2 linked regions of the Oreochromis niloticus genome follow. Each later gene encodes a partner of the first gene's protein in a complex. Links are inferred from orthologs where the notes say so. Each region holds a gene or a part of one and is shown on either strand. Other genes may lie near its edges.

What was found.
Region 2: the proteins of kank1a (region 1) and eif4a1a are in contact, whole or in part, in a crystal structure (PDB 7DDX), measured with the Mus musculus proteins. The link is inferred for Oreochromis niloticus from reciprocal best matches to the Homo sapiens genes KANK1 and EIF4A1. Residues at the interface, in NP_852069.4 of Mus musculus: Gly1168, Asn1169, Asn1171, His1175, Tyr1176, Val1178, Asn1201, Lys1202, Ala1203, Tyr1205, Met1209, Leu1210, Leu1213, Ala1214, Ala1215, Gln1240, Ala1241, Leu1248, Ser1251, His1252, Arg1254, Asp1273, Glu1274, His1285; in NP_659207.1 of Mus musculus: Lys99, Val140, Arg141, Val144, Gln145, Lys146, Leu147, Gln148, Met149, Glu150, Ala151, Arg168, Arg169, Tyr170, Ser172.

What each region holds. Positions count from the first base shown.
Region 1 is NC_031977.2:35,885,037-35,901,787, reverse strand, and holds the start of kank1a (KN motif and ankyrin repeat domain-containing protein 1a), read left to right. Parts: upstream 1-8,267; 5' UTR 8,268-8,538; intron 8,539-16,751. Other genes in the region: fbp1a (fructose-1,6-bisphosphatase 1a), read right to left, coding at 1,839-2,284.
Region 2 is NC_031967.2:1,646,235-1,662,620, reverse strand, and holds eif4a1a (eukaryotic translation initiation factor 4A1A), read right to left. Parts: upstream 8,620-16,386; 5' UTR 8,502-8,619; coding exon 8,479-8,501; intron 7,309-8,478; coding exon 7,266-7,308; intron 7,160-7,265; coding exon 7,027-7,159; intron 6,922-7,026; coding exon 6,782-6,921; intron 6,675-6,781; coding exon 6,506-6,674; intron 6,333-6,505; exon of another isoform or gene 6,192-6,332; intron 6,040-6,191; coding exon 5,930-6,039; intron 5,825-5,929; coding exon 5,681-5,824; intron 5,596-5,680; coding exon 5,458-5,595; intron 5,359-5,457; coding exon 5,269-5,358; intron 4,542-5,268; coding exon 4,462-4,541; intron 4,196-4,461; coding exon 4,051-4,195; 3' UTR 3,496-4,050; downstream 1-3,495. Other genes in the region: senp3b (sentrin-specific protease 3b), read right to left, coding at 12,104-12,214, 13,221-13,271, 13,398-13,481, 13,922-14,059. UniProt on the Homo sapiens protein: ATP-dependent RNA helicase which is a subunit of the eIF4F complex involved in cap recognition and is required for mRNA binding to ribosome.

The sequences.
Region 1 (16,751 bases):
ACACACCCTCCCTCAAGGGACAGGCAGTAAGCCTGCCTGTGTAAAACTGGGACTACTTTTTGTGGCTGCTCTGGATACTGAATAAAAAGTCTTTGGGTGGAATTAAATCACAGACACTTCATTGTTCAGTCAGACTGAATAAATAAGAGTAACAGAAGCGTGACGCTGCACTTCTGAAACACAGCTCTGCACGAACAACATGCAACATGTTCTCTTATTTCACATAAACCAGCGGAGACGTTTTAAACTCGGCGATGATGAAATAAAGAGAAACGCAGATATTAAAGTGAGCCCGGAACAGGGGCTGGCACGGTCCCCGACCCGTTCAGGGTAAAAAAACACAAGTACCCCAGTAATAACCACCTGTGGACCGAAGGACGTCTCATAAAATGGGCGTGTCTGTTCCAGGTATGCGCTTTCTGATTGGCGCAGAGAACCTGGCCTCCTGCTAAACAGCCTGAGCCAACGTGGATGCGTGCCGCTGAGGGCTTTAGACAGCGCTGCATTCAAGTACGGAACAGTGCGCGTCAGGGCCGTAACAGCTACTTCCTAGTGATGGGTAGATGAGGCCTCGTGAAGCGTTTCAGCACATTCTCCAAACTGTATCGATACTGTGTCGACACAGTGTTGCTGTTTTGCTCCTTACTGACACCTGCTGGACCTTAAATATCATTGCAGGGAACTTACTTGAGACAGACACTGATTCAATGACCTAGTCATACTTGTACACACTGTAAGGTATTGTACTTTCCATGGAATCATTTTATATCGTTTACATTTCAAATATTGTAGACATCTATAAAATATATTATGAATGACACTAAGTGAAAATTAAAATGAAAGTATTGTGAATGTAATATTACCCATTTAAATGTAATTGACTCAGAGTTAATTATAAATTTCTATTCAGAAAAAATAAGTTTATCCAATGTTTTTGCATTCAGTCTGTTGCGTTTTCCCCAGCTTTGGAAAACTCACGCTCACAGGCACAGATGAAGCTGGGGTACACAAAAACTGTAAAGCCAGGTGGAAAAGGTTAAGATAAGATGTCTTCCTATTCCCCCCAGTACGTTAAAGGATCCTCTGATCTTAGAATGTTTCTCTCCAACACTCTCCACAATACTAAGGGGTTGGCAGTCCTTTATAATAAAAATCAGGACTGCCTGGTCCAGAACAGTCTTCCTAGATGCTTGATTTCAAAATAATAAAACACATATTAATAAAAAAAAATGATGATAATGCTGCTCAGTGTCTACATAGGCCGACCTGTGTTCATTCTCAGTGTGTTTGTCTCCTCATTTTCATGTTTGGCTCTGTAATGCCTAAACACTGAGGAGGTGCTTTTGTTTGTGTAAGAAAGCTCCGCAGAACAGATGCAACATTTAACCTGCATAAAGTGAAATAAATAATTTACACTGCAGGTCACATTGCTGTTTTTCCTATTCTGATAGATTACACTGAAACAAAGACAAACTGTTACCTTATTTCCAGTTAAAAGATCGAAATGATCCCACACAGCAGAAACTTTTCTTTTTCTTTCGGGCTCCATTTTATTATGGAGAGATGTGCATTTTTTTTTTTTTTTATCTTTGCGAGAGTAATTTAGTTTTTTTGGGTGGCGACTCATTCCGTTGACGGATGCGGTACCTTTAACAGTTTGGAGCGTTGCAATGAGCGATACAGCGGCTGTATCGATCACGTGACTTTTTCTTAACGCGACACACGCACCGATACAGGCTTCGCTCTGTGAGCTTGATACATGCACCGGTGCGCCAGTGTTGCTGGACCCATCACTACTACTTCCAAACCTAACGGCGTGTGTAACGTGGCTCACTCACAGGTGGGCGATCCCAGCTTTGCGCACAGCGCTGGAGATGGCCTTCACCGCTGTGCACAGCGAGTTGAGCAGCGTGGTCAGCTCCCCCGTGCCTTTGGCCTTCCTGCCCTGCTCCATGACGAAGCGGGTCACGGTGACCACGTTGGTGTCGAAGGTGCTGCTGTCGGACATGGTGCCGGGTGAGCCGCTGGAACTGCGGGTTTGAGGAAACTCTGCAGGATTTAAATGCGGCAGCAACGCGGAACTGCGCGTGGACAGCCGTGGGGGGAATGTAGGCAGAGGAGAGGTGTGGCCCCGCTGTGTACACTGAGCTGTGCAGCGATGACACGATAGTGTTACAAACACAAGGATATGAGCAGAACAAAGAGAGTTGCACAAGCCCGAGTTCAGACTTTTGTTCCCTGAGAGCGACAGCCCGACACAGATACGAGGAGTGCGGACACGCATTGTTTCTGCGCACGATAGTCAGCGTTTACATTCCTCTTGCGCACATGAACTTTTCAGCGTGTTGCCCTGGATTTTCTCTTTGGAAAGATTAGTGGCTGCAGACTGTTGGAGACGCTCGCCTGCTCATTTCATACTTCTGACGAGTTTTGCAGAGGGGGGTTACGAAAGTGCCTCAGGCTACGTCCACACTAGCCCGGATAGATTTGAAAACGCTCCGCGTGCACACGTGTTTTCAGTCGTTTTCACAGAGTTGTGCGTCCACATTGAAACGGATGAAAACGCTTACGTTCCAGTCCTGCGCATGCGCAAAAGCGAGTGAGAATTAAAGAATTTGAAGAAAAGCTATCTGGAGCATGTACAGACTGATTTTCATCTTTTTTAGGGCTGTCAAAATTGAGAGCAATCAAAACAACCACTGTATAATGGACTCCGCTAGCTTTGTTTATTTGGTCACATGACTGCATCACATGACTAAGGCTACGTCCACACGTACCCGGGTATTTTTGAAAACGCAGATTTTTCTATGCGTTTGCACCTTTCGTCCACACGTAAACGGCGTTTTCGGTCACTGAAAACGGAGATTTCTAAAAACTCCGGCCAGGGTGGATATTTTCGAAAACTCCGTTTTTGCATTTACGTGTGGACGAGAAAAACGGAGAAAACACAGCGTCAAAGGTGTGCGCCTTTTTTGACGTCACAGTGTGCGCCACGTTGTTGTTTCGGTGAAATTAATTTCTACAATACTGTTACTGTTAATTGTACTCTCTGCAGTGTTTAAATGCTTACATATACACACATAGTTACTGTCCCTCCACACATACGACTCGGTTCTGCTTCTATGCCCCATCTTTGTTTACTATTTCCCACCGAGGCTTCTAGACTTCTGATTGGCCAACATTTCTACACGGTTAGGAATATAGCGCCACCTGTTGCTTTGGCATGTTCCTAGCAGCGTTTTCCTTCATTTCTGCCTTTACGTGTGGACGGGATTATTTTTTAAAACGAAAACGGAAAATCTCCGTTTTCAAAAATACCCGTGTACGTGTGGACGTAGCCTAAAAATACGTCAGCGTTTTAGAAAGTGTGGACGGGAGGCCAAAACGGAGAGAAAACGATTCGTTTTCAAACGAAAACGCATTAGTGTGGACGTAGCCTCAGTCAGGGTCTGAATGGCGAAACTTATGCAAATCAACTGAAGTCATAAAACCATCACGTCGAACGGAAGTATGGGAGTGATGAGGATCTGAACTCCTAAAACTCCAGTATGCAGAAAACACCGAGTGAAGTGAAAACGCTTCATGCAAACATGAAACTGACTGTACAACACGCTGTGAGTCAGCGCGAAGAGGCTAAAACAACCCAGTGCAGAGACATTAGTACTCATGTCCCGTATGTGGTAGTACGATGAGCTTCCAGTTAGAACAGTTTTAATGTCTGCATTGTTTTAACGCCGAGTGTGAAAGATTTTTCTAAAAGTTAGTCCAATGCTCTGATGTTCTACTTATTGTAAGAAATTCTAACCTTCCTCTTGAACACTGTGCGATTGTGACACTTGAAGATGCTGCAATGGAGCTGAAAACCATTTTTTACCACATACTGCTTTAGGGTGTAAGACTCACAAGCAAGCTGTCCATCATGTGCTTCAATAAAACCGATGAGGAAAGGAAAAATGTGATGAAGCTGCACATTCAATAAAATCCATCATGTTTAACAGTACGCCCGTTTACACGCACACATGGAAACACAGTGATGTTTGTGTAGTTTAGAAGAGACCGAGTCAGAACCATGAAGGAAATCTGATCCTCCACAAAACACTGTTTCCCAGAGTACTAACACATATTTGGGGTCACACTGTCAGAAGAGAAGAATCAGGGCTCGCAAAATCGCTAGCCCGACGTCCCGGGGCAGCGATTTTTGCAGTCGGGCTACCAAAATCTATCTCAGCCCTGCCCGTCGGGCTATCATAGGAAGGGAAAATATGTGTCAATGCTTTTGCATTTTCTTTAGCAAATGTAGCTGAGTAATTATGTTATTGGCATCGATGAGCCACTGTCAATATGTGACATATTGAAATCGCGTTTGAATTTGCGCTTGTTTTTTGCTTTCACTTTGCGATCGTGCGAACGGTGTGTAGAGAGCGGCAGTACTGATTGGTAAGTGACGATTAATTGCGCACCAATTCCTCTGACATCGTCTTATCACTCATTAGCTTACTATTCAAACCTGACAAGTGAAATCTCCCACAGCAAGCTTAAACATGTGAGAGGTTGATTGTGCAGAGAATCGCTGACCGTTATGTAAGTACGTGTGTAAAAGCAGCAGGATATATATTTTAGTTCTGCTGAGCCAAATAAGACAGGTCAGGGTGAAGAAGGGGCAGCCAATGAAAAGCCGACCACAAAACGGAAAAGTTATGACAAATCAGACTATGAGACAAAAAGAAAGCTCAGCTTTTTTGGTTTCATGGACAAAAGAATTTATGTGGCTGGAATATGATGAGCTAAATAACATGATGTTCTGCCAGGTGTGTTGTGAGTTTCATTTCATTTGAGTCGACAAGCGCCTTTGTAACTGGGACCAGTAATTTTAAGAAAGACCCCATCAGAACCCATGAGAAACGCAAGAAATGCATTATACTGCAAACGAGGCTAATCAAAAGCAGCTGTGTCCTGGGGAGAGAGGAGAGTGAGAGAAACAGAGGGGGTAGGAGTGGCAAGAGAGGAGGAGGCGGGGAAAAACACCACGCCCACACAAGGGCAGTTTCAGGAGGCCCTGTTATGTGTAGGCTGTGTTCAGACAGGAAAAGGACCCAAAGTGCAGACTACGGAGACAGACGTGAACTCAAAACAGCTTTAATGCTGAACTCAAAAGTGTAACAAAACTAAGAATACAAAATACACTTACATAGACAGAACACACAGCAAGATAAGGGTAGATCGCGACAAGGACTGATGAAAACACAGGGCTTAAATACACAGAGGGAGCAATCAGGGAATGGGTAACAGGAGGGAAACACAGCTGGGGCAAATCAGGCCTAACGAGACAAACGAAGCACAACCAGACGCATTTACATGAGACAAGGACTTTCAAAGTAAAACAGGAAACATAACACAGAGACGCGAATTTAACAAGGGGATACAGCCGACAGGGGAGACAGCAACTATAGAACACAGACATAAACCATAAGACGGAACTCTAAGAAAGAAACCAAAGACTAGAAATGATAAATAATATAATAAACTCAAAAGCCCTGGGTCAACGACCCAGGCATCCTAACAGGCCCAGCTAGGGCCATAACACCCAGTCTGCAATATCTTTCCCAGAACAAACAGCAATTGCAAAAAACATACTAAAAATAAACCAAGCAGAAGCAGAAGTCCTGAAAAATCTTTCAAAAGCGTACTATGTTGCAAAGAGTGAACCACCATTGGCCAAATTAGCAGTTTTTGCAAACTTCAAAAAGCAAATGGCCTCGATCTTGGTTCCACTCACCCCTTACCCGTGACTTCAGTGGAAATTTCAGATTCAGGATCTGACACAGACTGATTCATGGTCTACACAGTTCTTACAAGTTCATAGAAATTTCTGTTCAATTAGAACCAAGTATTTGAGTTGATGATTGTGATTTTTATACAGTTGTTGTGATTTGTATTTAACAATTTTCTGATTAATTTTTGTTTCCGTTACAATATTATACTTTAATGTATAATATTGTAAAGGAAACAAAACATTAAAAAATTGCTCTCTTTTTTATTCGGGCTACTTAAATTTATTTTGGGCTACCAAAAACTGAAGAGTGCCTGCCCGAAGGGCTACCAGGGATTTTGAAATTTTGCGAGCGCTGCAGAATGATATGGGGAACAGCTTAAACATACCTGTATATTCTACATGCAGTTGACGCCCTTAAAACCACAAAAATACAGAGAAACGCTGCTTCAAAAAGAAACACTGGTGACACTTAAGAAATTTCAGGACTGTAAATCTGCTTTTTCAGTTCAGTGCAGTGGAATAAACTCACTGAATCTCAACACAAATATAACTCATAATAATTTATTTTCACTCAGTGCAGACATTCAGACCTGGTATTCTTTACCTGACTGTTAAGGGTAATGAAAAGAGTCAGATGAAGCATTTTGTCTTATTAGTACCACAATCTTTCAGCCTTTAATCTCACGTGGCTCTGTAACACGAACCAGTAATAAAGTATACTTCACTGCTGACGAGCGCTCTGACTTCAAAGTACTTCAAGCAAAAATGATATCTGTAAACTTAAAACTGGAAACAAACACTAGGAGCTCATCACCATCTCCAGGCTTCATCTAACCTGATGAGCTGAGAGCAGGAAGCTGTTTACTTGGTGATGAGACAAAATACTGACAGTTCAGGAACAGCAAACAAGTATCAAGTGATAAAGATGACTGACTGTTTAATAGTCCTTAAGCTCTCAGCGCCAGTCCGCTGCTATCAAAGATGACCGGGATTATATCTATATCCCAAATATTCAAGAGATTAGTGAGCATGAACTCACTTCAGAGATGTTTTCCTGCGTCCAGCATCCAACCTGTAGCATCAGCAGGACATTAAACCATATGTTAACTTTCTTGGGCTTCCATATGAAGACTGTGATTGACAGATGTAGGTTTTGTAGTCGAAGGGTGAGGAAAAAAACAACAAAAACATCGCTGTATTTAAAAAAGAAGACGAAATCCAGTCACATATTAATAAGTCATATTAATCCAGTCACTATTAATAGTGCAGAACTGGGACATCTGGCCCAGTTCTGCACTAGCACTTAAACGCAGCTTACATTTGTGGGTCGGCAGCGTGAAAAGTCTCAAACCCCACCACGTGCACATGTGACGTCATCTGTGCATTTTTAACAATCTGTGAAAATAATGTCACAGATAGTTTTAGACGTTTGTCCTGCAGCACAGATAGCGTTTAAAGGTGAAAACGATCAGATTTATATACATTAAATTAAAATTTGGCGCGTAATTATAAGCATTTATTCAAATTTTGATATTTACCATTTGAAAAATATTTTTAGGTGAGATCAAATTGCTCTGTGTGTAGACACACGTCTGTGTACTCACTCTTTTACACATAAATCATTGTAGGCTGCACATTTGTAAACTGCGGTTTATGCTATTAAGCTGTATGAACTATTTGGCGGACAAAGGTGCCAACGGTGGCCGTGCAAATAGAAGATCTATATCAGGTTTAATTACAGTTATTTTCTCTAATGAAAACAAAATAACGACGTTGGCTTTAAATGTGCGATGAAAGTAAACAGTCAGATGTCAGTGCTGCGTGTTTATTGCACAGACCACATTAGATTCGGGGCTTCTCTTTGCCTCACGCTGTTAACGTCACTGGTCACAAGATGGCGCTGTCGGACAAACAGAGCCTGCGGCGGGACGCTGACTGTGCAAAGCATTGAGGATGCGTTTCTTTAACTAGTTTTTATCATTTATCTTTGAAAAATTGATAATTTTATGTACATGTTCATATTCGTGTGTCTGCGCTAGATATTTAGGTTTATTTGAAAGTGTAAGTATTTTAAAAACGGTTAAAAATGAACCCCAACAAGATTAACTGACACAGAACAATTAAAAACACTTGATATTAATGCGCCAACCGAAACGGCTTTCCTCTATCATCCCGAGCACTATATTGTATCGCGGAAGAAGAACATCTTCGTTAGTTATAGTAAGTTAAAACTATAAAATGTATATTTGTTTACGTCATTTAACTTTGTAACGTACATGTTTTTCCCCCTGTGTGGTCAAAGTTTTACGACACAACGTGCAGTCACTGGTTAGCAAACGATGTGCTAACTGCTTTAACCTACACGTTTACCTGAGTTTTAAAGCAGAAGCTGAGTCACGGAGCGCGCTGTTTGCTCTTCGTGACTCAGCTAGTGTAAGTAGGCCGAGCAGTGTGCGCAGGTAAAGCAACACCTGTGCCTCTAACTGACCTTCACATCAGCTCAGACTGGGCTCCTGGTAGGGCACCGACTGCGCATGACCGCGGGTTAACTTAGAGCTGTGGCACGAGCGGACAAGTACAAAGAGGCTGCTGGCGCAGAGGGGACGTTCCGTGTGCGGCGGGCACAGACTGCAGCTTTGCACACTTTTGCGCAAAGTTAACGCATTACCCAGCTTTTACCCTCCGAGACTCCGACCCCGAGCACAGAAAGGAGTCCGAGGAAAGGAGCTGCACCTCTAAAGGAGCCCGGGAAGCATTAGCGTGGGGTAAGTTAAAGTCGCTTCTGCTAATACAAAGTGTGTTTTAAACTGTTTCAGCTCTCCCAGGTGTCTCTGTGCGCGCGTGTAAGCGTGCACGAGCCCTCTGCTTAATCAAATACGTGAGTTGAGCGTGTCTTCGGTGCGTGTTGTCGGCCAGGTGGTCCTGCAGCGAGCAGACGAGACAATCCCATGAAGCGCTGCTGGTTAAGCTGGATTATATTTAAAGTCAGCTGGTGTTTGGGAGTCGTTCAGGTAATCTGGCGCTGTTTTTTTTTTCACTTCCGTCTGCGCCGCGCAGGTGTCATGAGCCTGAACTTTGAGCTCCAAGAGCGGGGAACCGGAGGCGAGAGACGGAGGAGGGTTTCACGGGGATTCGCCCCTCGAGAAAGGTTTCATTACCCTGCACACCCCACTCGTGATTAAATCCTCAGTGAGCCTTCTTCGCTTGGATTCAGTGTAAGTCAGGTGTCACCACAGGCTCGCGGACAACTTCACCTTCAGCTAAAGCGCAAGAACGCAGAAATGTCTTTCGTGGCACTGTTTCCACAGCCGCGTCCTCGTAGCGCAGTGCGGGATGAGCTCTTAACAACAGAGTCTCCGTGGAGCTCTAAAGGTCACTCATCAACCCCGAAATGCCGCTGAATGAAGCTAGTGTTGGGCACTTTTCCTTCATAGCTACCTGTTTTCATGCAGTGGGAAGCTGAGGCATTGGGGGGGGGGGCTCAGACCTGGATGGTGGTCCCCATTGTGCTGGTGAAGAGCTGGGGTCAAACAGAGGGCTCCTCATCCTCTCCTGGCTCACAGGCCTTTCCACTCTTCAGTAGAGATGAGGGAACTGATATGTCAAGAGGAAGAATATGAGCATTGTGAAGGTGTTTTTAATGAAATTCTTAAGCTTCCACTGTGGCACTTGTTGCATATCTCAAGATCCATTTTTCTACGCTTGGATAATAAGTGCAGATTTCATCCAGGAGGCCACACAAAGCATTCCTTCAGGACCCCGAATGCCTCGCATTTTGTGGCTTTGCAGAAAGCATCTCACTTTCTGCAAAGTTGTTTCTCAAAGCTGCTTTGTTGCTGTTTGTAGCACTGATTAACAGCTTTAATGGGGTTTGAAGGTTAGTGAGTCATTCACTAACCTTAAGGTGGTTAAAGGGTCATATCAGTGTCTCTGTCAGCTCAGGTGTTCTTTACTTCACTGCAGGGAGCTTGTTATAGTTTAATATTTTCATAAGAATAAATTGGAGATGAGATTAAAAATGTTATTTCTGGAAGCTTATTGATTTTTAATGCTCTCTTCCTCATGAAGGAAACACTGCGGTTGCACTGCCAGTGAGAATTTGGCAGACTGAGAGCCCGTCTGCTGACCAGCTGACCCAGAGGCTGCTAATATCTCAGGTTGTGATTGGCTTGCTCTCTTACAAACACATTAAAGCAGATCTGGCGGCGGTGCAGCCCGGCGTCACTTGGTACCTCAGGCTTAGTCGCGCTCCGGGTCCACATCATCAGGCGGGTCACTCGGTATCCGTGGACATGCGGTGGAGGTCTGTGAAATGACGCCTGACTGAGACGACCCTCGCGTCCGCAGGATCAAAGCTGGGTCTCATCCGCTCAGACGTGTCGCCTCCCCCGCCTCCCCCGCCTGTGATTACGACTCCCACCCCTCCTGTGTTTGTTTAGAGGAAATGACTTCCACTCCACAGCTCTGTGTGAGCAGCTTGCACGTCACGACTGGCCTCGCTTCTCTTGTGGGTGTTCAGTTTTTTTGTGGAGTCCTTGCCGTGGTGTTTTCTCTGTAATTTTATCTCGAGGGGGTTGCTGAGTTATAATTTTAGTTTTGGTTGAACATCTGTGCATACTTGTCTCCTGTTTGTGCTTCTCTTGCACGTTTTTGGTTCTAAAAATAAAGCTGCTCTGCCTGGGTTCACTTGAAAATGTTAGTGTTTACGTGCATGCACATCTGTGCTCAATGCTTTCTGTGTGAAGCTTCACTGCTGGGTAACCCTGAAGAAACCACTCTTACTGGCTGGACTGGAGGTGAAGGGAGTCGTTACAGCTGCTCAGCTTTAACGTGTGGGATGAGGGCCTACATGAGCCTCGGGGTCTGCCCTGTTATTACAAGATCAAATGTACTTTAGTTTAAGTGGATCTTCCACTCAAACCATAAGAGCCCCCTGATGCAAAAACAAGAACAGCCCAAGATGCATTTGAGAGGAGATAAATGTGTTCAGGGAGATCTTAGATAGGAGATTCCACACATAAGTAGCATGAACCTGGAGAGTCTGAGGAGGTGTCCACACTGATCTTTAAATTGCAATTTATTTAATTCTCTGTCCAGATGAGTTTGTTGTCCCTCTAAAACATGGGCTGGGAACCTTTTTGTATCAAAAAAGTTGGAGTAATGCTGGACGAGAGTCGACTGTACAGAGCCACTGAACGCACCAGCTTCTATAATGACTCACAGCTTTATTTAAGGACATAATGAAGGTGACACAGCTTACTCAGTGTCAATGAGCTTCTCTGAATCTCAACCATTCTGCAGTAAGCTATTTATAAAAATAATGAAAATTGTCTGGTTTCTGACCACCTTTACCAACAAACTGGGACCATTACTGGCTCAAAATGGAGTTTCTGGTTGGTGACTGACGCTGAAGCCCAGCTGGTCTGCATAGTGTTAAGGCAAAGAGTCATCATTGCCTTTAGTAAGAATAAGTCAGGCCTGTGTTTTTGTCAGAGAGTCGGGGAACACTGGAGATGAGCAAAAGAGCTTCAAATTGCAGTGAAGCTGCCGTCCTGCAGCCACTCTGGGCAGTTGTTGCAGTTATTCTGAAGCATCGGCTGGTATGAAACTGGTGCTGCACCTCCGCTGAGCGGTCACAGTGCATGAGTTTTGGATATAAATAAAACATTTTAAAAACACCAGTGGACGGGCTGAAATGAAAAGGCTTGCATAGCTGATTCTGAGTAAAGGCGAGCTTCAGGGAATCCTAACAGATTTCCAGCAGCTCGGAGCAGCTGCCAAGTCGGCACCACGCTGTTTGCAAATTTGCAAGGAAGTTATTACCGCGGTGATCAAAGCTCTGGCAGGACTGCACGAAATTCTTTTTAAATCAGTTTTTGTGGATTTAGCAGCTTAATGGAGTCAGAGAGGCCTGAGATGGATTGGGAGACATTTGTGTGTGTTGGCACAGATTGTAGAGGAGCCTGTGAGGTGTGTTGGACTGATACTTAAAGCAGAGGTGAGATTATTTCTTTTCTTCTACAGCTGTTTGGTATCTGGGGATTATAGCATTAGATGCTTCATTGTTTGGTTGTAGTTTTACATGGATGACATGCAGCTGGAGTTATTCTGCACAGCCAACATTTTGGGTCCAGTCTGGAACATAACCTCTGTGTATCTGTTGATCTCTAGTCTTGAAGATGAGCTGCTCTGTGGCAGGTAAGGGCTGAAACATATGACGGTGAGATACCGCAGTAAGAAGTGAATCTCCTTCATCACACAGAAAACCCAGGATTAAATCTAAGGTTAACTTGCTGAGGCCCAAAGGCTGCTTCAAAGAGCCCGCCTCAGAGCGAGCTGGCTAACAAAGGCTGAGTGAGGGGATTGTCTGCCTCTTAATTTGAATCTTAATTAGGATTCCTAACTTTGGGGCTGGTTTAGAAGCAGCCCGACGAGGCTGAGGGTAAACTGCTTCTACCTGCAGAGATTATGAAGCAAACCAGGTGAAGTTGTTGTGATTTTGAATTTCACTGACAAGTTGCATAAGAACAAGCGGACACATGAACTATCACGATGAATGTCAGCGGTCCGCCAAAGAGCCTCGGATAGTGTTTTATCCCTGTTGTTCCGCCTGCCGATGATTCATTTCTGCATGCTTCAACTTGCGAGATTCTTGTTGGGTAGAAAATTGTTGCGGCGAACATGAAGGAGTGAAGGTTTTTGCTCTCTGTGGCTGGGATTAACCCTGCCTAAACCTCGGAGTGCGTTTCACAAAGATGTTTTGTTTCCTGGTATGTTAATCCTGTTCTTTCTTTCATGCTCCCTCACAGTCGTCACGTGCTCTTCGTATCACAGACGATCAATAAGGGATCGTTGACCTCTGACATTATGAAATTAAGAGTTGAAATGAGCCGTTCGTGTTTTTGTTTCTCTGGAGCAGCTTCGGCTCCTCGCAGACCTCGTTTCTTTAAACCACCTGAGCTGTTGGGACAGCAGCCGATATGTGACGGGTGTTGGTGTCAGCCTCGCTTGTGTTGGCTGTGAAAAACTCCATCTTTGCAGTGCTAATGGGACCTTTTGAATTAATGATGTGCTGGGAAGACGCCCTCGTGGAAACGCACTCTGCCTGACGAGACTTGCAATAAATGATTGTTTTTAATTTTCACTTTGATGGGAGGAGTGATGGTGTGTAGAACTTGAGGCTGAGCGGGAACACCGTTACACACCAACCCTCACGGGGGAAGGAGATTATTGTTCCAGTGTAGAGCTGACGCCTCGCACACTGATCCAGTGTGGGATTCTGGGAAATCAGTTTTCAGCTTGCTCATCTTAGTAAATGAGTTTGTTCTCTAGTAACACAACAAATATTTCAGGGCAGGTATAAATGTTTATTACTCCAGACACGCACGTGTTTGTGGATATTTCAGATCAGTGCAGGCGTGTCGTGTAAGAATCTGTTAACCTTCTTGGATAGAAACAAATGTGACTTTGACTTCATTTGGACCTGTCAGTATTAAAAAACTTGAATAAATGTATAAGGAAATCTTTGGATTATAAAATAACTGGAGGGTTTTTTTTGTGTTTTAAGAAAAATGACTAAAAACCCTTTTTTATATTAAAATAAGTACAAGTAATTGGGTGGCATTTGTCCAGTTTTTCTCTTATCAAGGTGAAAATTTGAATATTATTGATATTATGATTTATATTTATTGGAGCAGAACAAAGAATTGCTAATAAAAATCCAGGTAAATGGTCATAAAATCAAAATCTGAATGATGAAATACTTTAATATAGACTTGTTCAGGTGGTCGAGGAACTTTTTGTTTACCGCATATAGTCGGTGACTTAAGCCTTTTTTCTTAAACAACGTTGACATCTGTCCATGAAGTCATGCTGTCAGTTTTCTGAGCAGATAATTCCCAGAAAAGCTCTGAAAGTTCAGCCATTGCTGACCTTAGCAAACTGCTCCCTGACCTGCACCGTCGTGGCTTACAGGTGTAGCACGAGCACCTGCAGCAGGTGGAGAACTGGTTCATGTGCTGGTGAAGGACTGTTGCTAACTTCTCTCCTCGTATTCACAGAGACTTTTTTTTTCTACAATATATTTCATAATTCTTTGAGGAAACTTTATTAAAACTGAAAGTAAGAACTATTGTCTGGTGGATCAGGTGCTGGGAGTTGACTCCCTTTTGTGGTGCATATAGATCAGAAACGAAGGCGTCCAACACACGAGACGAGCTATTAGCCCGTCGTCTTGTTCCAACCACAAAACTCTGGAGCTGCAGACGGGGAGCAGCGGCACATTCGACTCCTCTCTGAACCAAACATCCTTTGCTCTGCACGTCAGGGGGAAGTGTCGCTTCTTAAAAACGGCTCAGCCACAGCCTGTCATTATCCTTTCAGAGCTGCTGATGAATGAAAGGTGAGCAGTCTGAGAGGAGGGAGCGAGAAATCCCACACGTTTCTTGTGCATTAAGCAGGACAAGGCAGGTGCAAAGGGGATTCAGGGCTCAGTTGATACTGTGATAATCCCTCAGCTATGCAGGCATGCACAGACTCTGCTTGTCAAGTTGAAGCATTCCACAGTACGGGGGTCTGACGACCTGCTGATTAGAGATCCAGCCAGATGTGCGCGGGACACATTCAAGCCTCGTTTATTTACATACAAACCTTAGTATGAATTTAATACAACTGCCAAATGTCTTAGTTCTTGGTTCATTGTTTTGTTTTTGAGGTAAATGGATGATGGAGATGTTGACTCCAGCTCTGCTTTTAATGCCTATTTTTTGTAAGGACAAATCCCTTCAGTATACAGTAAAGCACTTTAAAATACACCATAGTGCTCATTAGATGAGTTTTGCAGCTTTATTTTGCTTGACAGGCCTCAGTCTGAATCTCCCATCATCCTCTGCAGCTCAGAAAGGGCTGTTGAGTTTGTTCCCTGTCAGGGATGCTGCTGTTTACGGCCGAGAGCCTCGGCCCAGTGGTCACCGTGCTGCTCATATTACAGCCTCCCTCACTGGCTGCTATTGTCAGGTTACTTTGTGTGTGTGTTCAGCGTTTGCGTGGCCGGGCTGCGATTGGCTCTGCTGTGTGAGACAGCGCCGGGTGACGTCTCTGCTGTAATCCCTCGTTTCTCTCTGGTAGTGCTGGCTGCTCAGTGCCAGCTGCAGCTCTGTGAAATGCTTTTACAGGAAAACTTTGAGGTTTCTAAATCCTGAGGAAGGAAGGTGAGTAAAACAAGGTGCAGCAGTTACTAATACAGCTGTTGTGTTATTATCATTTTATTTATTTAAAGTTGCGTTTAGTTTCTAAAACTTGCTGGTGCAGGTTTTTAAGTTTGCATGGTCACTGGGAGCAGTGGATGTTATATTTTATTGGATGGAGATGTGGGGCAACAGGAAACTTGAGTCATGGTGGTAGTTATGGTTTGGGTGTTGGGGTGTGTTGTTGATGTAAGCATCTGATCCATGGTTTGGAAAGTCAGGTGAACTTTTAACCTGGGATTGAGTTCAGATTTAAACTCTGATGTTGGTGCACATAAACTGCTCAGACGATCAGAGACCTGCATCGTGTTCTTACACTTTTCTCTTCTCACATGCAGTTACCATTATCTGTAATCTGACCAGAACTTGGATGCTGATGTGCGTGTAAACAAACTCACTGTTTGTTCTTTCGAGCGATTATCCAGGAGGAACAAAGCGAAGTCTGAGTGTGTGGAGATGCCGCCGCTGTGTGACTGCAGCTGCTCGGGAGATAAACCTGCGTTAAACGCTGCTGTTGTTGCTCTGATTGCTGAGAGCACGTAATGTTAAATGCTGCAAAGTACGAGTCATTCACTTGATCTGCTTGTTAGTGTGAACCGGTTCAAGGGTACAGCCGTGGTTTGCTGGGCGGGGGGTTTGTCTGTTGTGTCTACAGCTGCCTCTCTACACATTCCTGTTCTGAAGCTCTGCATCTGTCTGAAAATGAAAGTTTTGGCATCTTTAATGAGACGCAGGCTGATACGACTTGTTTTTCTAGGGTGCTTTCAAAAACCAACCTCCTCCTGATCACTTGCAGAGTGATGCTGTGTTCAGTCATGTGACCTTGTGGTTTTTAGCATGTTTTTGAACTGATAGATGCACTACACAGTTGCATTGTGGCCTCACCACAAGAAGTGGTTGTGGACAAAAGATGAGATGAATGAAGGCGGTTAAAGAAAAGCCACGAGGACTTTATTTCTCTACAGAGTGTTGATTCAGGATGACCAGAGTCACCAAAATTGTGTGATAAGCGTTACATCGGAGTCCACATTAAAGCTTGAACAGTGCTCGAGTTGTTTTTAGGGTCAATACAGAAGTAATCAGAAGTGAAAAATCATTCACGAGGGGAGAGCTGGTTACCTCTCTGCCATGTCTCCATCTTGTTTAAACTTGGCAACAAGTACTTGAGTACCAAATGCAGAAAAGCATAAAAAGGAGCACAGGTGAGAAAGTGAAAGACGCAGCCCTACTTGCTGGTACTGTGTATGGAGGGAAACTGTTGCATTCATTTATGCCTCATTTAAATGTGATGTGTAGAACACGGCCGACAGTCTGTGGAGCTTCATGTAGTTTAAGAACAGGCGAAGATGTGGGTTATGGATCCCCCCACACAGACCCTGCACAGCAGCTGTCCTCTTGGCCTGTATCAGGTCACTTTATCAGATCTACTGTAATTGCAAGCTGCCGACCCAGGCAGGAAACTCTTTGTATGCTTTACAGACTTGTGGAAGTAATCAGCTGGACACTTGGGAATTTTTTTGCAGCGTCACAAATTGTGGCAGTTTGTATCACAGATGGCAGCCATTTGTGCAAACCTGTAAATCGACAGCGAAGTGCATCAGTGCGAGGAGCACCTTCGGTCCAGTACAGTAAAGTCTTTCAGGCTGTAGTAACAGACTGTCGTAGAGGTCATTGCATCAGTTTCAGGAACTTTCCACAGGCAGGTGACGATGCTCTGAGGTGCTCCGTGAATA
Region 2 (16,386 bases), on another chromosome or scaffold:
AGCTGGTAAAATCTGCCTGAGGGTTATCTTCCAGTTTACATCCAATAGAAGTTTGAGCTGCAGCTTTAGAAAGCTTCATGCCAAAAACAAAAGAAATCAGTTTAGCTTAAGGAAAAGATATGTTGGTGTTCATAACTCAGGAGGTGGATATGGAAAGTTACTGCTGCATTTCCAGCTGTCAAGAACTGGAGTGGAAGTATCATCGAGAAACTCAAAGAGAGCCAGAACAAGCCTTACAGAGGTAGGAAGTAAAGGACTAGTGGGAGATGCATCCAAAGATCCCAGAACAACTGCCAACACACAAGTGAAGCCAGTAGCACAGTTGCAATTGTAATTTCAAAGAAGACAGTTAGTTGGACCCTGCACATGAAGCAGACCAATGGAAACCGTGCAGACAGACTGAGATACCCTAAGGACAACCTGGAGAAAGCACGTCCTTTGGTCAGATGAGACAAAACTAGCCATAGAGACGCTGCTTACGTTTGGAGAAAGAACAAAATCCCCACAGTCACACACAATGACGAGAGTACTAAGCTGTAGGGATGCTTCGGAGCGTCTGGAACTGTGAATGTCGTCAAAGTGGAAAGAATCGTGTAATTTTGGAAACCTGGAGCAGTCGGCAGCAAAACTGGGTCAGGGTCGTCGCTTTACCCTCCAACATGACAACAACCCCAAACATACGACTCTCGTGGTGAACCACCTTCAGAGCAACAAGTAAAAAAGCTCTGACTTGAATTCCATTGAAAGTCCTTGACAGTTTAATTTGGAGGAGCTTGAAAGTCACCAAGAATGTATTTGGATTACTTTGGAGATGTGCGAGTCTTGTTGAAAACTACAGCAAACGGCTGTTGCAACGTCAATACAAAAAATTACGATGAGGGGATTAATAATTCTGACCCTGGTAGTTTTATAAAATAATTTTATTACCGTGACGTGAAGTTGGGATGTTTGAAAAAGCTGAATTAAAAGTGTTTGTTCTATTTGTGCGTAACCAAAATCATGTGTTAACATCAGTTATCAGCGTGTCCTTAAAGCCAAAACTGATGAGACAATCATAACGAGAAGCTTCAGGTGAGTGTTTGGGTTGAATTTAGATCCAATAACTTCAACGTTATTTATACAGCACCAAATCACAACAACATGTGTTTTATATTGAAAGGTAAAGACCTCGACATTGTAGCCAGCTCTGATTAGTACTCACAATCAGAACTTTAAAGAATGATAACAGAGTACTATGTGGCTGTTTCGATGACTTTAATTATGCCGTACCATCTCCTGCTGACTGTGTGAACATGTCAGAGAATCAGAGACTCTTTTAATGTTAAAGAGCTTTGACCGTGACATTTCCATTATATCTCCTCATTCAGCAGACCCACGAAATAACGATGGGATTCAAATGTTTTGGAACGCATCAAAGTCCAAACAGCTTGATGGAAAGGAGGGGAAATCTGAATGAACAGAAATAAAGTTGGATAAAATAAGACGGGGTTTGGAGGTCAGAGGAGCGGGTAAAGGCTATAGATTTATAGGGGGAGAAATAACCAATGAAAACAGGGAAGGCCAGAAAATGAAGGTGAAAAGAAAGGAGGAGGGATGCAATGATGAAGGGATGGATGATGAAGGGGTGGGTGATGGGTTGGTGCAGGAGGGTGGATTTGGATGACAGGGCTTGAATAGACCTCTATTCTTCCCTACGCTGGCTTCTCTTATCATGCAAAACAGGCCCGTTCAGCCTCCCAGCCATCCGTCACACAAAGAAAGACCATGGCAGCCTTTTTACAAGCCTCACACTCACATAATCCACCCACCCCATCCCACCATCTCTCAACCCTGCGATCCAACACCCAACAGGGAGCGAGTTGGTACCCACAGTGTGCATGTGGCATTTGGGGGATGGGCACAGGGTATATTCACCACAAACAGCGCCTTTGGAAAAGGGACCACCTAACCTGAGAAGCAGACCACAAAGTAGAGATCTGCATCATGTTTTCAGGGTGTGCGGACACGATTAGGGGTCTACGGGAAGCTAGAACAGGCTGGCCGGCCATCACAGGGCTAACATTTCTCTATCTTACATCTCAGCCTGTGAGCTGGAAATCAGTCTGTGGATAAACTGTCGCTCCTCCAGAAGGCTGGGAGAGAAAGAACATGCAAATCCACAAGAGTGTGCATGTGTGCTACAGAGAGTACAGGGCTGATGATGTCAGTAAGGCTGAATCGACGTCTCCCTCTAGTGGACGGAGACGTTATATACTTGATGGCCTCCTGCAGTTTTGAAGAACCTGCGGATGGTGCGAGGCTGCTTCTCACAAAGCTTCTATTTGCTCAGAGGAAAAACACTGTATGCTTTTCTATTTCATCATTTTATATTCCAGCTTTATTACAAATGCACACGTGTATCTTTACCTTATCATAGACATGCCTTATGGCGTTACATGTTTAGTACTTTATTATGAAGAATTGCACTCTATGCAAGAGTCCATCAACCAGCCGTGGCCTCAGTAAACTGGTACGGTCTTTAGCTGCTGCACCCACGGTCGTGTGGGTCAAGCTTCCACACCTTTTCACACAAACATCAAATATCTGAATAAAAGCAAATTAATTCAGTCCTATAATGCTTCTGTTGTCTCAGAGCTGTGACTCTTTTTAATGAAGATTCAGCTCTTTATGAGCTCTCTTTAATTGGGAGGGAAAAAAGACAAGGGGAAAATAAATGATGGAAAACGCAGACACCGACACAAACGTGTCTGAAGATGTGAATATTATAAGAGTTCCAGCTCTAACAATGACTGCTCCACTCCATCGCCCACCTCACTGAGTGAGGTTTGCCACAAAAGTAGACACCACACAGGATTTGGCCAACAGAGGGCTGCTTTACAGCTTTAAAAAAAAAAAAAAGAAAAAAGAAAAGAATGTTTTTATTGTTTTTCTTTTAAAGACCAATAAAATAAATACTATACAGTATCCAATGTAGAAAACCTGATACACTGTCTCCAAAAAAAAAAAAAAAAAAAAGGGAGGGGGGGAGGGGAACAATCCATACATGGAGAAAAAAAATATTAGCACTGATAGCACACACCTCATGAGATAATACGAGAGCTTAGAAACTTTTGGTGGAGTGGAAAGCAAGATAAAAATCTCTATATACTTTTATATTTGTAGTTTGGTCCAGATGACACTCCCCATTCACCTATAAGATTTGGATGAGGTAGGTTACAAAACATGACCACAACCTTTTGAAATCTTATTTCCTGTTTAAAAAAAAAAAAAGAAAAAAAAAAAAAAAAGAAAAAATCCAATCTCAACAAACTGGAGATGGAGGGTGGGGGGAACAAACAAAAAACAAAACCAAAAACCCGCTTGGATCTGGGTCAGGAGGCCAAATCGCTACAACTCACCGTTTCTGCCTGCAAGCACTCCTCATCTGAACTCTACTGTACAAATGGCTGAACAGGCCCGAATGAGAGAGGAGGAAAAGCAGAAAAAGCACAGCAGTAAAGAGGATCAAATTGGTCAGCCACTGTACAGCTCATTTTATTGATCATGTCCCGTTTACTTCCAGAACCCAAAGACTGCTGTAAACATGATCGTGGGCGTGCGATGAACGTTGTGCAAATACACTGAAGATTGTTTAAATACTGAGCTAGTCAATCACACCGCGGTTCATTCAGAACACCGTCGAGTCCAGACTGCTCGGGTCAGCCGACCGACGCTGCAAACAGTCAAATCTCACACAAGCTTCAAATCAACAGTGTCTCTTTGCCAACAATCAGCAAGTATAATGTCATCACTGGACTTTAAATGTGCTTTTGGAAACAGTTCTGGCGTGAAGCAGAGTATTTAACCGCTGGGAGAATTTCAGGGTCGATAAAAGACAATGGCAGATGGAGCGGGTCAGCAAGTTATTCTTCCAAAATCATGTCAAATGCTGAAAGAGTAAATTCAGGGTGGAATTTAGAAAAGGAAGTTTTTAGTATTCGTATTGTAGGAAACAAGCTTTTACTTCTAAAACAATCGGATATGGGTGGACAAACAGAAGCGGGGAGTCTTCTAGATCAGATCGGCCACGTTCATGGGCATCTCCTCCACGGTGGTGTTGTAGAATGTCTCAATGTCCCTCAGTGTTCGCTTGTCATCCTCAGTTATCATGTTAATGGCTACTCCCTTTCTGCCGAAACGACCTCCCCGACCGATCCTGTCAAAAACAAAAAGGTGATTAAGTTCACTGTAGACATGTGGACTAGTCCAAATCACAGGAATGTCTCTGGGTTTACTGCTTATGCTCACGTCAGACAAAGTGCTCGCTTCATTTTACAATAAATGCAACTTCAGGGTCATGTGATTAACATGCCACGTAACAATTTCGCCAAAGTTGTCTTATAGCAGTTAAATTTGCCTGTTGTGAATAACTGCAAACCTCAAAATTAACCAATCATGTCTATAAACGGTTTATATCTTCACCTGTGGATGTAGTTTTCCCTGTTGGTTGGCAGGTCGTAGTTGATGACAAGGGAAACCTGCTGAACATCAATACCTCTGGCCTGAGAAGAAACAAACACCTTTACTTACATGGCACAATTTCAATTGTGGCTCTAACAGCGAGCCAGTGCAGGAGAAAGACACTCTGTACTCTTTCAGGGAGTACTTGGGACAGTCGTCCAGCCTGGAAGTAATAAATGCATGAACTAGTTTTTCAGCATCACTCTGAGACAGGATATTTCTAACTTTAGAGATGTTGCACAAATGGAAGAAAGCAGTCTTACATATTTGTTTAATATGTGCGTTGAAGGACATGTCCTGGTCAAACATTGGTCCTCAGTGTTACTGGAGGCCAAGGTAATGCCACTCAGAGTACGAATCTGGTTAGTACAATAACCTCAGTTTGACCTGAATTAGAGCTCATCCAGGTCTTTATGTCCATCTACAAATTAAAATTAGGCCATACATAAATACTTCAGTTTCTATTCAGACACCTGTGGTACACCTGGATCTTTCTGTGCACTCATGTCCTCAATAAGTGCTAACCCCACTTTTTTAGGTGGTGGGTCCAGTTTCTATGACCCACCACACCTTTACTCAGAAGTCTCTCAGGTGTTCTACAGGAATAAGTGTAATCTGCCAATTAGTTGTGAGTCAGGGATTTCAACCCAGCTACAGTGGAGGGCAGATTTCTGCTCTACCAAGGAACTTTCAGTCCTTTACCAACACTGCAGCTGGCAGGAGAGGGAACCTTGGACTGCAAACAGCACTAAAGAAGCCGTTACATACCAACAGGTCAGTGGTAATAAGGACTCGACTGGAGCCCGAGCGGAACTCCCTCATGATCAGGTCTCTCTCTTTCTGGTCCATGTCACCGTGCTGAAAAGACGTAATGAAATCTTACAACATGTACCGAAGGTTTTTCCACACGTGTACGTGTTCACACATCACACAAATAAAAGACAAAGAGGTTCGTACCAGAGCAGAAACTGTGAAGTCTCTGGCATGCATCTTCTCAGTAAGCCAGTCCACTTTTCTCCTTGTGTTGATGAAGATCACAGCTTGTGTGATGGTCAAGGTTTCGTACAAGTCACACAAGGTATCCAGCTTCCATTCCTGAGGACCACCAGGTCAGACCGTTAGCACAGCAAGCTCAGCATAAACACCCTGATCACAGGGAAAACGAGTGCATGTTTTTCACCTCTTTTTCCACATTGATGTAAAACTGGCGGATGCCCTCAAGTGTCAGCTCCTCCTTCTTCACGAGGATTCTGATAGGCTCACGCATAAACTTCTTTGTGACCTCCAAAACATCGGCTGGCATGGTGGCAGACAGTAGGACAACCTTAAAGAGATTTACAGAGATATCTGTCAGCTACAGGCCCTTTCCATACTTCAAGCCAGGACCTTTGACTCGGCCGTTACAGCGCTGACACGAGTGTTCTCCAACCTGGATGTTGCTCGACAGCTTCTGGAAGATCTCGTAGATCTGATCCTTGAATCCTCGACTAAGCATCTCATCAGCCTCGTCCAACACAAACATTTTGATGTATTTAGAAGCTGCAAAAAAAGGAACATGTTACACATCATATGGGCACATAACACATTCAGTTAAATCCATGTTTGCACACAGATACAATGGAACTGTGTTTAGGAATCACGTGCCACTAATGAGGTTTCAGTAATGAAGTGTCTTCGGGTGTAAAGGTGCCGTATTCAGAAGTAATGAACGTATGATCATGCCTCTGGGACCCTGCTGTCATGAAAGCTCGAGCCAGCAGAACGCCGACCAAAGCGACACCACAGCAGGGACGTACAGTGTCAGCTGACACGCATGGGTTTCATCATTATACAGCACTTATCATATACAAGCAGGAACAGACACAGGAAGGAAGACTACAATGTGGGGTGAAAGCGATAACTGACCTCTGAGGTGATCATAGTGACCAAAGAGACTAATGTTCTTTCCTTATAGTAACAAAATTTCAAACAAAGTAGGATTTAACTCCCTCTCACGAAGACTTACAAAGGTTTTTGCGAGTTAGCATGTCAAAGACGCGGCCGGGAGTTCCCACCACGATGTGTGGGGCTTCAGCCTGCAGTTTCTGGACCTCACTGCGGATGTTGGTCCCTCCAATGCAGGCATAGCAGCTGGCGCCCATGTAGTCACCCAGGGCAAGGACCACTTTCTGAATCTGGAGATTGAGTCAAAGACCAGACATTAAGCCATGCAAAAGGCTATATGAGAGATGCTATTGCACAATATGTCACAAGTGTTGGGAGAGGCTGTGTGGAAGCCAACCTGCTGAGCCAACTCCCTGGTGGGAGCCAAGACCAGAGCCTGAGTGCCTTTCAGCTCCACATCAATCTGCTGAAGGATGGAAATGGCAAAGGTGGCAGTCTTCCCAGTGCCAGATTGGGCCTGAGCAATCACATCGTAACCTGAAATTAAAACATGTGCAATTTAGTATCCAGGGAATTCTTGGAAATGTTAACTGCTAAGTAGTATTAGAAACAGACAGTATCACATATTGAAAGCACTCTTACCCTTGATACAAGGCATAATGGCCCTTTGCTGGATAGCTGAAGGTTTCTCAAAACCATAGGCATAAATTCCCCTGAGCAGGGTCTCCCGTAGATTCATCTCATCAAAACTATCCACAATCTGGTTCCAATTGCTCTGGAAAGGTTAGAAAGAGTCCCACATAGGTCAGTTAACTACATTCTGAACCTACTGCTGTGAAAAGAACATCAGTGTTTGTGGGAGTTTCATATGAGACACTTACCTCAATGATCCCATCTGGCTCCATGCCTTCAGGGCCATTGTCTCTGTGAATGACAGAAACTCACGGTTATCATTGCTTTCCAGCTACACTTGTAAATGACCATAATGAACTAAATCCCCTCTGCCCACGAATAATGATAATAAAAATAAAATCTTCTGTAGCACAAAAATATCCCCCTTTAAGTATACGTGCTGATATAATCATTACCAGGCTCCACGTTATATCATTCTTCCCAAACTTGGCGTGAAAAAAGAAGCCTTCGCCCCTTGTGCTGTGACGCGAGGCCTTGTGGAGAGGCCGCCATTTTTGCTACATACAATCAAGATGGTCGTTTCTCCATTCAGGGGAGGAAGAGTCAGGGGCGGGAGGACGCTTTACAGAGGAAACGCCGCCACGTCGAATGTGGCCGACTAGTCGACAAACTCCGACATCTTTGTGTTCAAAGCGAACGGATCGTTTAGAGTTAACCGCGATGCTAAGAGGAAAGCGGTAGAAGAAGCCTCGCGGCTTGCCGCCGAGGCCTGCTCCGCATTAGCCATTAGCAACAGGGCCTGCTAGTCTGTAACTGACAAAGTCGGCGAAAGCAATTGTTCATTTAAACGCGTAAGGCACAGCGCTTTGTGAAGGCAGCGTACAGCTCCACCACATGCAGCGCGTGTAAGCGGAAAAACGTCCATTTTCAGCGGCCTTAAAGCGGCCTTTGTTCAAAACGCCGACCATCCGTACTAAGACCATGTGACTCCACCGAACACCACGAAACAGCATTAATCCACCTTTACAGACAAAATAAGGTCAATCAGGTGTATTACACCCGAAAGTGTCGTAGTTCCGATCTTTTGGCTTCAATATCAAGTTACTACAAATGAAAAGAGGAAGAATTTTTAAAGGCCTACACCAGGCTTGTTCACGTGCTGTCGCCGGATGCCGATAACGACCGCAGTCAGTATTCACATCTGAAGCATTAAGACTAATATAACTTCTGACTAGCATGACTTTAACGATCTAAAACATTAAATCTTATTTCACACTCGTCTCCTGAAACGCGAAGAGTCCTAATGTTCATCTAAGACAAAAAGTCCTCGAATGTTACTCGACTACAAAACTCCGTTAAAAATGTGCATTCTTGAGAACATCGAGTAAAAATATGACGGATTGAAAGTGAAAATAAGCCCTAGAACTCACAATTTATGCGACCAAAAGTAGCCTTCCTTACCTGTTATCATATTCAGCCGACATTATTTCAAAGAAAGAATCCGCAGCAGAAATCTCTTATATAGGTTATGCGCACAAAGAGGCTTTCTCATTGTAAAAGCTCACCGTCACTTAGCTGTGGTCCCGCCCACAGGCATTTGCGATTGGACGAGCTCTACGTCATGTAAAAGTAAGCAGACCCATGGGGCGGACCGTTTCGTTTACAGTATGCTCGTAATTCACGCTCGTGCCCGAGTTCTTTAGCCAAAGAGGCGGGGTTTCAGTTTTTACGGAATCCGTTGGTGACGCAACCGGGTTTCTTCAGTCCGCCTGCCCAGGTGTGTCCCCGCTGCTTTCCTCAGACATTTACAAGCGCCGAATAAAAAATAAATGCAATTTTTTAATTGGGTCATGTAATGTCTTAATGTTCCAGCATCACGTTGAGTATTTACAGCCTATCAGAGATGAGTCTTGTGCGTAATATGCATGGATCACTCAACACACTGCTCTTTAAATGTATTCATACTCTATCACGGGAAAGAGTTAGGGTTAAAAATAACTATTTCTGTTGATTATCTCAATTTTTTTACTGAATCTGGATGATGGAAAAATCTGATGAGAGTGCAGTAGGTTAGTTCCATAAATGTAAATAAATAAATAAATAAAGCTTGAAAAACACATTTATATAATAGTACTTTTTAAGGCTTTAGAGAAACATGTGAAACAAACCATAACCACAAAATGACACCATGAAATTAAACTGAACATTGTCCCAGTGACAATAATGTGGCATCTGTACCTGGTTTAGAACTTCTCTCTTTCTAAGTGCCATGTCTTATCATGTATATGAAGAACTACCATGACCGTTTCTAGTCTCTACATGTGCTGAGAATCATTCAGATATTTGCTCTGAAATTAGGTTTTATTACTTTCGTTTAATGTGTTTTTTATTTCTGGATCTAATATTCTGTCTCTCTCCATTAAAATTAAACTACCATAAACAACTAGCCTGCTAATTTCTTTGTGAGCAAAATTTCACCCACTTTCTACACAGATCGATGCATTTTCTTGGTGGATTCTCTCATCAGATATGAACTGCTTTTCTGTATGGGGCCGATTTTGACTTCACATCATGTGGACTGCAAAAAAAAAAGCACTTGGGTTTTGGTTTTGGCTTGTTCTCTTATATCGGTGCTTATGTATTGTCTGAGTGTCGACACCTATCACTCAGGAAAATACTGCAGAGGCTTTCTTCACTTTAACAGCCGTTAGAAAGGGACTGTGAAAAGGTGTTGTGGCAGTGATCGAAGCGCCCATTACAGCAGGTATCAGTGTGAAAGGGTCTGCAACCATCCCCTCTGCAAACAAAGAGCTGGCTGAAAACCTGATACTGCAGGTTAATGAGGGACGCATTCAGACCCCTCACCCACCACATCCTGATAGTAGTCACTGTAAGGCCCCCTTTGTACTTTGTGGATGATGCAATCAATATAGGACTGCATTATATCCTATAATATCCAACTGTGCAAAGACTTATGCAGTTAGTAGAGTTTAGCGGCATGTTCAAGACCGTCAGCAGTGCACCCCAGCTTCTCCGGAGAAAGGAAACAGCATTGGGGAGAGTCTGGTTTGGTGCAGCCACAGCGCAGTAAGAACCTTGTTCAGAACTGAGATCACTATTACGAGGAACAAACCACAATGTGACGAGCTGAAGAAATGATCTAAGAAGACCTCTTAACAAAAACAAAACAGAGATCCTCTTTTTACTTTACTTTTTTATGAAACCCAAACATATTACCACAATTACTAACAGAGACACAGGAAAAAATGAAATGCAATGTAAATATAGTTATTTGAGCCAACAGGTCATTTCAATTCAATCTCCCACAAGCTGTTTGAGACTTGAAAGTTTGACTAGGACTAAATTACACCTGCAGAGCTTGTGGGGTGTTCCCTGTTTGCAGTGGTCCAAGGGAGAAACAGTGGGAAGAAAAGCTGATATGGAACAGTGCATCGCAGTGGAGACTGCATAGCTGTCTGTATCTGTGTGGCTGTTAAACACACTCTTTCAAGAATGCCAATGTCCACATTTTGGACAAAGGTTTGAAAGAGGAGTGAACGACCCTCTTTGAACACCGACACCGTCTGCCATCTACGATCGAGCTTTGAGATCCTTCCCGGACGCCTTAACTCACATCCTGGGCCTTTTGACCTCAGTAAGTCACATGATGGGGGGCAAGGTCTCACAATGGGTTCACCCGAAACCTTGGCTGACCCGTTTTCACACCTTGGCTCATGTGATTATGCAGAGAATCAATAGAGGGTCAACAGCCCTCTTAAGGACAATAGGGCTTAAAAATGTGGGACTGACTCTCAGACGAAACGTCTTCAAGAAACTGAAAGTAGTCCTTCCATTACTATGATCTGGACGAGTCAAAACTTACACACACACACACACACGTTTGCCACATATTTTTATTTTTAGCAGTCATAACGTATTGTAGAAGATATATAAAACAGCTCTCTTGCATCAGCTCCTTCTTGGGAAAAAAAAAAGCAAAGCCAAAAACAACTATTCACAAATTTTCTTTTGTTATAAAAAGAATAAGAGAGCACTGTATCTCCACTGTGGACATATTATGCCTGTTGTGTATTTGTGGTCCTCAACAAAATGGCTTTTTCAAAGAAATACTAACCAGAAGATCTCTAAATGAAAAAATAATAATAACAACAACAAAAAAAAGAAAGTCTTTTTTCTTGATTTTTTTTATGAAACCCAAACATATTACCACAATTACTGACAGAGATAAAACACGTTAAAAAATTAAATGCATTGTAAATATACTTCTTTGAGCCATTTCAGTTCAATCTCCCACAAACTGTTGAAGGTTTATGACTTGAAAGCGATCGAGGGGGGAAAGTCTCTATTGTGTGGGCCAGTATGAGGTGGGATTCATGGATGCTGCAGAAATCCAACTTTCCCTGAGATTCACCAGAAAAAAGTTTTACCTGCAAACATAACCATGCATTCCCACTGAACTCCAGCTGAGCAGGCTGCAGGAAAGGATTACAAATATTGTACATGGAAGTTTCACACTGTAATACACTGGAAAACATTTTGTGCTGAACAGCTCGTCCATATTGGTGGCCACAGCATGGGGTACGTTTCATTTTGCAAAGATGTCAAGTAATGACTGGCTGGATGGAAAAGTCACTGCAGCCCTCTAAACACAAACTCCACTGTGGGACTTCCTTTCATACTTCCTGGACGCAGGCTTTTCCGTACCTCAGTGCTCCCTCTCCGACCAGAAAACTAGTGGACTATCTTTACACGGATAACTAGCCCATCCCCAAAATAAGATGGCTAGTCTTGGCCTCTCACAACCACAAAGAACTATGACATGATATTTAAATCAGTGTTTTTCAAACAAACCGAGGGAAGCAAAACCAGAAAAAATAAAGTCAAACAATGTTCGCATCTAGAAGAATTTCTCTGCATGGTGGAAGAGAAAAAGTTAGGTTTGTAATGTTTATTTTCCCCCAGTCACTTGCTCCCATTTTCCTCTTGTTTTAACACTGTCCCTCCATCCTGTTAGATTTCAGGGACGGAGCAGGTGTAGCTGGCCACAAAGGATGGAAAGTAAGGGTCACACCATAAGCTTGCAGTGACACAGTTCTTTGTACATCTGTCTTCTGAGGCGGGGCATGTCCTGCTGCCCAAAGCTGAACTGCTGCCCGAGTGCCAGACACTTGCAGTACTGCAGGATAGCAGAAAAGGAAGGGTCAGGGTTAGATTCAGATACTGAAACACATTTAAAACAACCTGATGTGTGGCAGTTACCATCTATGCAGTAGGTACATGTGTTCCCCTCATAAATGCTATAAAGAAGTGAAACTGAGGCTAATCCAAACTGTCCACGGCTAGCTCTCAACAACAGGAGTTCGTGTTTATATTAGGGCTGGGTGATATATCGAGTATATTCAATGTATCGCAAGTTTGTCCACGTACGATGGTTAAAATGCTTTTATCGTAACCATCGAGTGTAGGTTCCCGCACGCTGCAAATGCATCATCAATCCCCCCTCCTAGCTGGAAAATTTTCTACCCGCCACACTGCGCTGAGCATGCGTGTTTATATGCTACCAGATGGGGAATAATATGGCGACAGTGGGAGTTTCAGAGTCGCTGTCGTTTGGATTTCACGAGGAGGATGTCGAACAACACGAACGAACTCGGCATGTCAGCATCTCCCCACACACCAAGGGAAACGTTAAATACACCAGCTGTGATTTGAGCTATGACGGCTATTGTTGAGAGAAACAGAGTCCATGTTATTGTTTATCGTTCCTGAAGCATATTCGTGGCCGCCTTCTGCTGCTGGCTCAGTTCATTTTGGTAAGAGAGTGATGAAACCTCTGCTGTTAGACAATGTGACGTTTGCTTACATGAAGCCGAGTGAGTGTTTGGCTTCGTTGTTTGTGTTTAGGCACATTTCGCAAAGTGACGTAACTGCTCTTTTAATTGTTGTTTTGGCTGTTTGCAGAAATGGTTTCTATGAGCTTGTGGCTGAGACTTGAAAGTTTCATTGGATACCACACATGTCGATATTTACATAAAAAACTTAAACTGCAGCCCACCCCCTTTGCTGCTCAAGATGTATCAATATATATCGTGTATCACGATACAGCCCCCAAAAATGTGGCGGCATTAGATTTTCTTCATATCACCCAGCCCTCATTTATATGCACAATGCAGAAAACTCACCTGTAACACAAAAGCCCCACAGTCACTGTCATTGTTCTGGCGGCCCACATTCTGCAACATTACAAATACATTAGCATTAGCAATGGTACCAATTCAACTAAAGTCTGCTTCTCGTATCATTTTTACTTAAAGTCTCACCAGAGCTTTGTTAAGTGGTATAAAGAAAAATCCTTTTACCATTTTGAAAAAGCCGGTCCATCCTGTCAGGAAGTCTTGCTGGTCTTTTTTGATGGCTTCAGCTTGCAGGTATTTGTAAATGTGCTGGAATCAAAATGAACACATTCAAAGACACTGCAGCAATTTCCAAAAACAGAGATTCTGACTTTGAGCAGTATATTCATGGATGACAATGAATGGACTTCTTGAATAGACTATATGTGTGACAGCCCGTCCTCTCCTATCAGCAACTGAATCACTGGCAGGACAGAGAGAGGAGCAGCTTTGGACCCCAACATTTGGGTTTAACACAACCCAACTGAAGACAAAAACTTTGGTCTTTTACAACAAATTTGTAGCGTTATACAATAGTAAGATTTTTTAAAAGCAACAATATTAGCTAACAGAAATATCATGCAGCTGCTCGTTTGCAACCATTAATCATTTTGACAGAAACCTTACTAAGCATCTATACCCACTGACCTTTCTTTAAAAACTGTTCAATCATCCACTCATTTCTTTTCCAAAAGCTTCCTGATCCCTACCTTTGGGCAACGCCTGTTCAAAGTCCTCTGAGAGTCAAAGTAGGTGATGGCTCGACGAGGAATGTCAACACTGACCAGCGACCAGTGGACCTCAAGGTGGATGGGGATCAACAACAGATCCTTCTGAAAGATGTCGACCTATGGTCAATAGAAATAAATGGATTACACAAGAGTTTGAGATGTACCAAAAATCTTGGTTAAGCTATTAGTTTTCAATGTTACGATGCCCCCCACCCTGTAACACTAAGCCAGCTGTGCTCCTAATGTGGTCTTAAGCAATGTAACTAACACAGAGATGGAAAAGCTTGTAAAGCGGCGTAGCGGCTGCTAGCCAAGAGCAAATTCAATTATGAACCAAACAAAGCCAGACGCTAACAGTGTGAGAAGTATGTTCTTCCTATTAAGACAAGCAGATGAGTAAAGCTGTCATAACATTTTTCCATGGGATTCTATAGGCAGTGGAGATAAACCACATGCAAGCATTTCATTGTTTTGGTTTATATTTGTTACACGTTTCAGATCAAACTAATTTTACCCTCTCACATTTATCCCAAAACACCTTGATGATCGAATATCTTTTTTGAGAATATTCTGTGTAAAACTAACAGCATTGAATATGATAATATATCATAACGTGATATTATAATATTAAAAAAATGATATATTAATAAAGCAAGGTGGGGCTGGAGTAATGTCCATGGCTGCTCTGCTGCTTCAGCACCTGGACGACTGTAATTGATTCAAACATGAACTCTGACCAACCATCAGGTCACTCTGTAAGCTTAAACACAGGTGGGTAATGCAGCAGGACTGAATAATCTCTAATATTTAATTATGTTTGATGATCTTAAAACTTGTGAACAAGACAAACGTGCAACGGGCATATCCTTGTTCAACAGAGCTGTCTGTTATGTTTCAGCTGGATGATCAGGGTCAAACAGAAACGGAGGCACGCTTTATCTCAATACAAAACTGTAAGTAAAACTTTAATCTCCAGACAGTCGTGGGATCTTTTTAGTCATCAGATAGCAAGGTTGCATAATGATGATGTGTCTTCTATGTGTATAATATTAGGATGAGCTTTAGAAACCAAAACTATTTTATATTTATAAATGAAGTGGATCTGTGGATATACACTTACAATTCAAATGTAAAAAAAAATATTCTGTTGAAAAAATAAATTGTAATTGTGTTATTTATATTATTATTCTCATGAAAACTGGGCCAGACTTTCAAATCTTAATTTGGAGAAGCAGCTAACTAAATGTATAAAGCTGATTGTTTTTTTCATTCAAACACTAAAAAGTGCGACGGTTCCTTTCAGGAGTTTGTAACAAGCTGTAACAGTATCCATGTAAAGAGAACATGCCTATCTGAAACTATACAGGAAACATCTTAAGTTTATTTTGTAACAAAGAACCTCTGAAGTTTGAAAGAGGACTGGACAACTCAGTTTTGGATGAACTCTCCATAAAGCACATACAAAATTGAAATACAAACTAGACTTTTGTCTCAACAAAGTCAGTCTGACGCCTTGTTTTTGACTAAAGATCCCAGAGAAGATGAAAATGTTCCATTGGAAGTGTCAGTAAATACCAAATTAAAAAAGCTGAACCACAGTGGCGTATGGCCTAAAGCCAAAGCACAGAGCAGACAGAGCTGTGTAGAGTTCAGGCTTTGTTACATGTGTGCAGTATTTAAACGACATGTTTGAATGAAAAAAGGACACAAACAGTCAGATCTAAAAAACAGAAACCAGGACATGAAAAATATATGTTCATTTTCATTTTGATGTCACAACTTTCTTTGAAAGTTAAAACTGAAGCAAACTGACATTTACAGCACTGAGCCATCAGAAAATGGTCAGAAATGTACCGAAACATGCAAACACACGCATGGAAATCTAAGGCAAAATACATTTGGTGAGACCAGCCTGAACTCTCCTTGGTCACGTTTGTGTAACTCATTCAAGTCTTCAGTAAAAACCTTCTGGGTTTGAATAAAGATCAGTCCAAAGTTCTTTTTTGTTCCCTTTTGTTCCCTTCTCCCCTTGAGGGCGCTACCCCAGCTAGGTCATTCCACGACTGACGCCATTTCATTGTTTTTCTATCCAGGTATGGCTTTGCTGCATTAGCTGTGTTTGACATCATTGCTGTCAGATGCTTTCCAGCTGGAACTGAATGGTGGAGCAAACTCTCAGTTTCTTCTGCATTCACAAATACTTCAGGTTTAAGAAGATCCTGAGCTGGCTGACATGCAGTCTGTGTTTTACAGATGAGACACCTACTGCACCTCTCCTGTTCATCTACAATCTGAAGCTAAAATTTCACATTTGGACGCAATTTTTAGCGTAGTTGTTGAGTTGTCTGGCACTCCTCAGCTTGTTGTCACAGTTTTCCTTGCTTATTTATTTATTTTTTATTTCCTTTAGATATACATTTACTACATCTAGTACTACTTTTGTC